Linked DNA regions of Mus musculus. The protein of the gene in region 2 purifies or fractionates together with the protein of the main gene of each other region. This does not show direct contact. Links are inferred from orthologs where the notes say so. Each region holds a gene or a part of one and is shown on either strand. Other genes may lie near its edges.

What was found.
Region 1: the proteins of Asb2 (region 2) and Rnf7 purify together in Homo sapiens (affinity purification with western blotting; 3 studies listed by BioGRID and IntAct, with this or other methods). This does not show direct contact. The link is inferred for Mus musculus from reciprocal best matches to the Homo sapiens genes ASB2 and RNF7.

The regions. Positions count from the first base shown.
Region 1 is NC_000075.6:96,475,612-96,480,146, forward strand, and holds the start of Rnf7 (RING-box protein 2), read right to left. Parts: upstream 3,065-4,535; 5' UTR 2,972-3,064; coding exon 2,797-2,971; intron 1-2,796. UniProt on the Homo sapiens protein: Catalytic component of multiple cullin-5-RING E3 ubiquitin-protein ligase complexes (ECS complexes), which mediate the ubiquitination and subsequent proteasomal degradation of target proteins.
Region 2 is NC_000078.6:103,335,369-103,339,175, forward strand, and holds part of Asb2 (ankyrin repeat and SOCS box protein 2), read right to left. Parts: intron 3,023-3,807; exon of another isoform or gene 2,876-3,022; coding exon of another isoform or gene 2,814-2,875; coding exon 2,709-2,813; intron 1,638-2,708; exon of another isoform or gene 1,505-1,637; intron 609-1,504; coding exon 442-608; intron 1-441. UniProt on the Homo sapiens protein: Substrate-recognition component of a SCF-like ECS (Elongin-Cullin-SOCS-box protein) E3 ubiquitin-protein ligase complex which mediates the ubiquitination and subsequent proteasomal degradation of target proteins.

The DNA.
Region 1 (4,535 bases), on a different chromosome or scaffold from region 2:
ACCTTCAAACAAAAACCCCACAGCCATCCTGGCCTCTTCTATATAGATATAAAACTGCCTCCTTGGGCTTTATCCATAGTTACTAAACACCCACTCTTCTAGGATTTAAGCCTTGGGATGACAAAACAGCCAAGGCTGTCCCCCATGGAGCTCACTAGGAAATGGAGAAGGGAGGCAAGCAAACCACCCGGTGTGCTGATGACACCTGCGGCTGCTCTAGCTCTGGCCGCCACCTTTTTAATAAGTAGGAAACCAAAGCTCCAAACAGCCATTGTGAAATCTCTAAGTTATCACAAGCAGGCACTCTACTCTGGCTGTACAGGGTATAGGTGGAACCCAAGGGAGAGATTACCCACACTGCAACTGGGTGACAGGCCAACTTTGGAATAAGAAGGCAAATAAGGGGCTGGTGAGATGGCTCAGTGGGTAAGAGCACCCGACTGCTCTTCCGAAGGTCCGGAGTTCAAATCCCAGCAACCACATGGTGGCTCACAACCATCTGTAACAAGATCTGATGCCCTCTTCTGGAGTGTCTGAAGACAGCTACAATGTACTTACATATAATAAATAAATAAATCTTAAAAAAAAAAAAAAACTATAAAAAAAAAAAGAAGGCAAATAAATAACTTTAAGATTATGAAAAGTCAGGGCCTGAGAGATGGCTCAGTGTAAGAACTCTCAAACAGGATGTCAAGTTTAGTCCCAGTGCCCGGCCCAGGGAGCTCACAACTGCCATAACCCCAGCTCCAGAGGGATCCACGGGCTCTTAAACACATATGTCCATACCCTCCATACATGTGCATTCATTAAACTAAAATTTAACAATGTTAGGGGTGGGGTAGGTTGAGACAGGCTCTCTACATAAACCTGGATGGCCGTCTTAGAGATCATTAAGTAGACCAAGTTGGCCTTGAAATCAGAGATCCATCTTCTGCCTCCCAAGTGCGGGATTAAAAGGTGTGTGCCACCACGCCCAGAATAAACAAACAAACAAACTTAACTATATATATTTAAAAGCCAATCTCAGCCGGGTGTGGTGGTGTACGCCTTTAATCCCAGTGCCTGGGAGGCAGAGGCAGGTGGATTTCTGAGTTCGAGGCCAGCCTGGTCTACACAGAGAAACCCTGTCTCGAAAAACAAACAAACAAAAAGCCAATCTCTGGCCAGATAGACTGCTCAAAAATTAAAGTGCTTGCATGAGTTTAAGCCTTGGGACCCACATGGCAGGAGAAAAGAAGCAACTCCCAATACTCTTCTTCTATGTCACACTCACACTCACACACACACACACACACACACACACACACACACACACACACACACACAGAGTTCTTCTATGTGTCCGCCCCCACCACAACTCTAAGTAAATTTTGTTGTTTTTAAAGACAGGGTTTCTTGTGTAGTACTGGCTATCCTGGAATTTGCTGTTAGATCAGGTTGTCATGGAACTCAAGAGACCCACCTGCCTATGGCTCCCAAGTGCTGGGATTAAAGAATGCACCATTAACAACAGGGTAATAAAATAATGATGATGATGATTTAAAAAAAAAAAGCGGGCGTGGTGGTGGACCCCTTTAATTTCAGCACTCGGGAGGCAGAGGCAGGTGGATTTCTGAGTTGGAGGCCAGCCTGGTCTACAAAGTGAGTTCCAGGACAGCCAGGGCTACACAGAGAAACCCTGTCTCGAAAAAACCAAAACAAACAAAAAAGATTTATTCATTATTTGTTTTTAAGATGGGGTCCCACTACTTAGCCTTGGTTGTGTAGACCAGGCTGGCCTAAGGCGCACAGAGATCTGTTTATCTTTGCTTCTCGAGTACTAAGTTTAAAGATATCACCACACCTGGCCAGAATAAAATTTCTAAGCAAAGCTTGTGCTGCCTCTGCCCCCATGCCTCAGCCTCCCGAGTGCTGGCATTTCAGACATTCGCAACCACACTCAACCCTAAAATGGAAATCACTGCCCAGCTCCTAAGCAAGGATGAGGGGTGGAACAGCTGGATTTTAGTGTTTTAGTCAAATCAGATTCTACATAGAAACTAGTGTCTGGGTCTACAATTAAATGTAAAAAGTAAAGTTTGGGAGCCCTGATGAAGCAAGTCCAAAGACAAAGAATAGACTGTGGAATCTCTTGATGCTACGTTTAAAGTCTCAAAGCCAAGAAACGCGCACATTTTCAAACTGCAGAAATCTATTTCAACTACTCCCCAGTCGCCCTGTAAAGCAACCTCACAGTAATCTAAAATTTTATGTTTATGCTACCTGCATCTGGGTTTGCATACCAAATGTGCCTAATGCCCTCAAGGGCCATAATGGGGTGCTGGAGTTATTGGAACAGGAGTTAGAGGGTGGTGAGTTGCCATGTGGGTGTGGAAAATCGAACCCGGGTTCTCTGTTAAGAACAAGCTTGTGCTCTTAACTGTGGAAACATCTCTCCGGTCACTGAGCCTCATTTCGGTTATGAGACAGAATCCGTATAGTGGCGCAGGCTCGCAATTTCCAGTTTTTGGGAGGTGCGCCCTCCTGGGTTCTAAGCCAACCTCGGCTAAATGGGCAAGCTCTAATCCTGAGGAACGTGAGAGCATCTCAAAGACGAACATCCCAACCCTCAGATCTACGCGAGGGATCCGCTGGGAGATTTGCTGGCCGCAGGGCCGGAGGTTCCCCTCGGGTATCCCGGTCACGCCCCCTCCCCCCCGCCCCCATAGGAACCATCCCGTGTCTGGCGGCCCGGCCCGGCCCAGCACTCGCCGGCTCGGCCCAGCTCGCGGTCCCGGCTTCGCCTGCATCGCTTACCCATCACCTGGACCCTGCAGATGGCACAGGTATCGCACTCAACGTCCCAGCTCCACATGGCTACCGCGTTCCACTTCTTGAGAGAGAACATCTTGTCGCCTCCCGACTTGGAGCCTGCGCTCCCGGAGTGCGAAGAAAGGACGCAGGGTTCCTCGCCGTCCTCCACGTCGGCCATGGCGGCGGCGCAGAACGGCGACGCGGACGTTGGGCGCGGAGGCGGGAGGTACGGTGGCTCAGCGGGGCCACAACACACGCCACGGAGCCTCCCGCAGGCACGGGCGGGCGGGCGGAGCCAGACGGCGATGATTGGATGGCGCGCGCCAGTGACGTCACGAGGGGCTGGGCAAGGCCTGTACAGAGAACCCCAGCGCTTGCTAAAGTGGCCAAAGGCCAGTTGCTGTAGGGCAGGCCCGGGTCAGTAAGCGAGCATTGTCTGGAGTTACATTGTATTAAACTCGGGGGAGTCTCAGAAATCACATCGTCCCTGTCTTCATTTGTCTCCTTTCTCCCAAATGTAAAACTATCAAGAGTAGGGACAGAATTCTCATCACTGTAACCTCCGTATCTTACAAAATGGTTGGCCTTGAATTCAGATTCATTTATTTATTTATTTATTTATTTATTTATTTATTTATTTATTTATTTATTTTTGGTTTTTCGGCAGCCGGGCGTGGTAGCTCACACCTTTAATCCCAGCACTCGGGAGGCAGAGGCAGGCGGATTTCTGAGTTCAAGGCCAGCCTGGTTACAAAGTGCGTTCCAGGACAGCCAGGGCTATACAGAGAAACCCTGTCTCGCAACAAGCAAGCAAGCAAGCAAGCAAGCAAACAAACAAAATATATGTTTTTTTAAACTTTATTTTATGTGCATTGCTGTGAGGTGTCAGATTCCTTGGAAAGGACCTGGAGTTACAGACAGTTGTGATCTGCCATGGAGGTGCTGAGGATTGAACCCCGGTCGTTTGGAAGAACAGACCATGGTTTTAACCACTGAGTCATCCCTCCAGACACTACATTTGTTTGTTTGTTTGTTTGTTTGTTATTGTTCTCAGGTGACAGAGAATAGGTAAGCAGAAGGGCAAGAACGCAATGCTTAAGCAAATGTGTGCTGGGGAGAAAGCAGAGTGAGCCAGCCAGGGAAGGGCCAGGCAGTGGGCCCCTGGGACTGTGGTTAGGTCCCTCCCACCAGGCTTTGTCTCAGATCACTTGGCCAGCATTGAAGGAAAGCTTGGATGAAAAAGCAAAACAAATGTTCCTGCCTCGTGCTCAGCTCACGTCCACCGCCATCCTTCAGGCTACTCTTACCAACGGGGGTGGTGGTGTCCATCCTTACCGGTTAAGCCAATTAGAAGTATATGGGGCAGTGGCCGTGCACACCTTACTCTGAGCACTTGGGAGACAGCAGCAGGTGGATCCTTGTGAGTTATAAGGCCAGCCTGGTCTACAAATCAAGTTTCGGGCAACCAAGGCTACACAGAGAAGCCTTGTCTCGAAAAACAAAAACAAACAAAAAAGTACGAGTCCTTTATTCGTGCAGGACCAAATTCCGGCGCATGCCTCAGAGTCTCTTGGTGTCGCAGCTCAGGGATACGGTGTTTCTAAAGGCAAACCCCACAAAGACCACAACTCACATGAAAGTCAGATGACAGAACAATCTTGAAACGTTCATTTCTGACAGAACATGGTGATTTTTTTTTCCAGACGTAACATGAAAGTTACTTTTGACTTGTGCCTTCTTCA
Region 2 (3,807 bases):
ATCCTAATCTGGCCTAATAGAAAGATGGAATTCAGAGATGAGACAGAACCAGCCCAGGGTCCCACAGTTGGTGGGAACAGCTTTGGCAGTGCACAGGCACAGTTGTGCCTGAGCCTTTCCACACCAAATCAGCCCCTGGAACATTCTGGAACAAACTAGCAGTGGCTGTCCCAGAATTTAGTTCTTCCCTCGTTCTTTTTCTAGGAATTAGGTTCTGCCGGCTGAAAGGCATGGAGAGACAGCAACAAGAGGCAGGGGCAGGAACAGGGAGAGGCCTGTCCACCCCACCCCTACCCCGAACCCAATTCTCCACACCACTCCACCCACCCCCGCCGCAACACAGTGATTTTAACTGTGTTTGTGGCGACCATTACATGGCCTGCCCTCTTCACCAAGGGAGAGAGCCCTGTACCCTGCTGGCCCTTCAGAGATGGTCCTCACCTTGCTGCAGGACTTTCAGGCAGCCCAGCTGGCCATAGTAGGCAGCCTCGTGGAGCGGCAGCCAGCCCTCCTTGTTGGGCTCTGCAAGATTCTTCCCATCCTGGATCATGATCTTCAAGGCCTCTTCATCCCCTTCCTTGATGGCCTTCAGCACGGGGTCCATAGCCCTGTGAGAGCAAGCAGCAGCCAGTTCTCAGCTGCGTGCAGAGGCAGGGCCGGGTGGCCTGGGTCCTGCTGGAGGGCAGGAGCCAGTGTCTGCTCTGAGGTCTCTCCTTCTTCGTATTCAGCTTGTTCTGGGCCTAATGCTTGTGCCCTCTAGCTCACTGGATGCAAGCAAATCAGGGTGGGAGCCCAGCAGGCCCGAGACTTTCTGTGGCTGAAGCTAACGTCACACCCAAACTGTTTCTACCAGGGAGAGATTGCTAACACTGCTTACACTCCGGCACAGATTGCTAACACTGCTTACACTCCGGCACAGATTGCTAACACTGGCTTAGAACTGCAGAGAAATCTTCAGTAACTAGGGACCTTCCCAAAAGAGGGCCCTCTGATTTGTACCACGCACAGCTACCTACAGGGTTGAACGCTAGCAAGAGCTCCCAAAGGCAAGGGCCTGCCAAGGTCCCTCCCTTCCCTGTTACCCCAGCCTTCCTGTCTCCCCATCTCCCCATCGAATCCATTATCCCTACTCCCAGCTGCTGCGAAATGACAATACTTGAAGGATTAATAAATTAGAATCCTTCACAGTTTAAAATTTCTAAATGTCAAAAGATTTCAAGGCCACAGTGGGGGGCATCTTTGTCTGGCTCCTTGAAGGCATTTTTTTTTTTCATCTATCCATTTACTTTTCTGTCTGTTCTCTGCAATCTCTTTCCCTTTGTCCCCTGCTACCAAGTCAGTAAGGACCATGACTGTCTGGGATCCTGGGATCAGGAGCTAGGATGGGTTTAGGGGGAATCTCTAGGACCAACCCCCAAATGTTCCCAGCTGCTTCCTCCAGCATGTGACACTTCCTCCTGCATCTCAGCCTCGGGGTTATTAATAGTAGATACGGGGTGAAGCCAGAGACCCAACAAGGACAAGCGACTGACCAGCTAGATCTTGAAGGTCCATCAACACCATCATAGCCACCTGCTTGAGAGCCACTCAGGAGCAGCAGGACCAACCCCCATCAGTCTCAGGGAGGGGCCCATTGGGTATGTGGCTGAAGTGTGTGTGTGTGTGGGGGGGGGTGGGCTGGCTGGTCCTGTGGCCTTGGTGAGGGGAGGTTCCCACTATGTAAAACTTGCTGTCAGGACCCACCAGCCAGAGTGGGTCTCCCTAGCTGGGATTCACAGATCCTGGGGCTCTCAGCATCACACACACTAACAGCTTCTCCATGAGCCCAGACAAAGTCCCCACCCTAAAGAGAGAAAGGCTGCCAGGCATGTTAAACCACCAAGGACTAGAAGCAAGCTGCACAGGGCCTTGGAAGACAACTTTGTCTTCCCCAAGGCCTGCCTAGCAGAGAAGAGAGACTCGGGGGCAGGCCCTCCTATGGCATACACTCGAGGGTAGGTAGTTGTACTGAGATTAGAACTGGGACTTTCTTTTTTCTCAGCCTCAAAGCCCCTGGTGGCCATAGGGCTTGGGAAGGCTGAGAGTGAGAACTGGCCAGCTGTATCCTCCTCTCTGCCACACAGAAATAGGGTACCAGCAAAGGGCCCCCATTTTTAAACTGCTTTTAGGGACACTCCGAGTCAGAGCAAGGAAGGAGGTACAAATGTCCCATTAGCTCCATATCCCAGGCAGAACCCTCTCCTTTGGCCCCGGTTAATTGATTAGTACCGGGCTTTGGCACCTGGTTCTTAAATGAAGTGTTGTGGGTGGGGATTTAGATGTGCACAGATGAAGCCCTGGAGGTGGCATGGGGAGACACAAGACAGGGATGAATAGAAGTGAAAGCCAACTCCTCACCACCACCCCCCAACACACACCCCAGCCCTTTGAACCTCTCCCTCCCCAGATTCAGAGACCCACGGAACTCCTCCAGCAGCAGGGTCACAACCTCTGAGAAGATCTGAGGGGTCAGTCCCAAGCACAGCCCAAATGCCACTCCTAGCGGGCATCAGGCTATGTCCCCTGTGTCTAGTTCAGTAGGAGCACTAGAATCTAGACTCTAGACACAGCAGGAAGGAGATCTAGGGCTGCAAAGCCTCTCCCTGCTGCCTCAGCTGGAGGTGTGAGCAGGGTGGTCTTGGAGCCAGGTGGGGGGGTCGATCACTTACGCCATCTGGGAGGTCTTGAACAGGTTGCTGCTATACTTCTGCATGACCCCTTGGAACAGACCCAGGGGTGCGCGGGCCGGTGGGTTCTCGGGAGACGAAGGGGACCTGGAAGGTGCAGAGCCAGAGTGAAACAGAGCAAAGTACTCTGCATAAGAGAAGCGAGTCATGCTGGAGCCAGTAAGGAGGATGGAGGGTGAGCTGCGAGCCGGGAGGAAGAGTCTAAGTGACAGACAGACACAGGGCTCTGAACCAAAGCAGATGGCCGGGCCCTCTCTGTGTGCTGGACACAGCTGCTGTGTCTCTGGATTATTTTTGGCCCTTGGAGGAAGCCCTTGGAGATTTAAATGACCATATAAGACAACAATGAGGTTAACCTCACCCCCGCCCCCACCGCCCCCCTCCCCAGCCAACCACAAGGGTGCAGATATGAAGCAAGGTGACATTCTTCACCAGGGAGGATGTGAGAAGCGGTCGCTGGGTGGCAGGCGTCAGGATGAAAGGCCATGGGGGGACCTCAGTGGGGCTGGAGAAGAGATTCCTGGACAAGCAAGGGAACAGGAGAGCCAGTCTGAGAAGCCAAGACACGTGGACCCTCCACATCACCTTGCTGGCTTCACTTACGAGGACTGTGTACCCCATAGCCCTCTGGGGACCCAGTAGTCTAGAGGGTACAGCGAAAGGGTGTGTAAGGAAGGTCAGACAGGGATTTAAACCCAGATGCTGTCACTCGTGTGACCTGCAGGCAATCTCATTTTCCATGCATTTTACTTCTCCTACCTGTGTAGTAGGAAGAGAGCAGCCCCTGTCTCAAGTGCCAGTGTGAAATGCTTAGCTGTCTTGTGGAGCACAGTGTTCCTCAAAGGCTCATGTATTGAAGGCTTGTCCCAGTTCAGTAGCGTGCTATGGTGTGCCTTGGGGAAGTGACAGGGATCAAGAGGGCTCTGTTCTCAGCCTTGGATCCAGATCCACTTACTACTTCAAAACTGGATGGTGTGAAGGGTAGCTTTAATTGTCAATTTGACTCAGCCTGGAATCAGTTGGAAAGAGAATCTCAATTCGATTGGCTAAATTGGGTTGGCCCTCTGGGCATGTCTGTGGG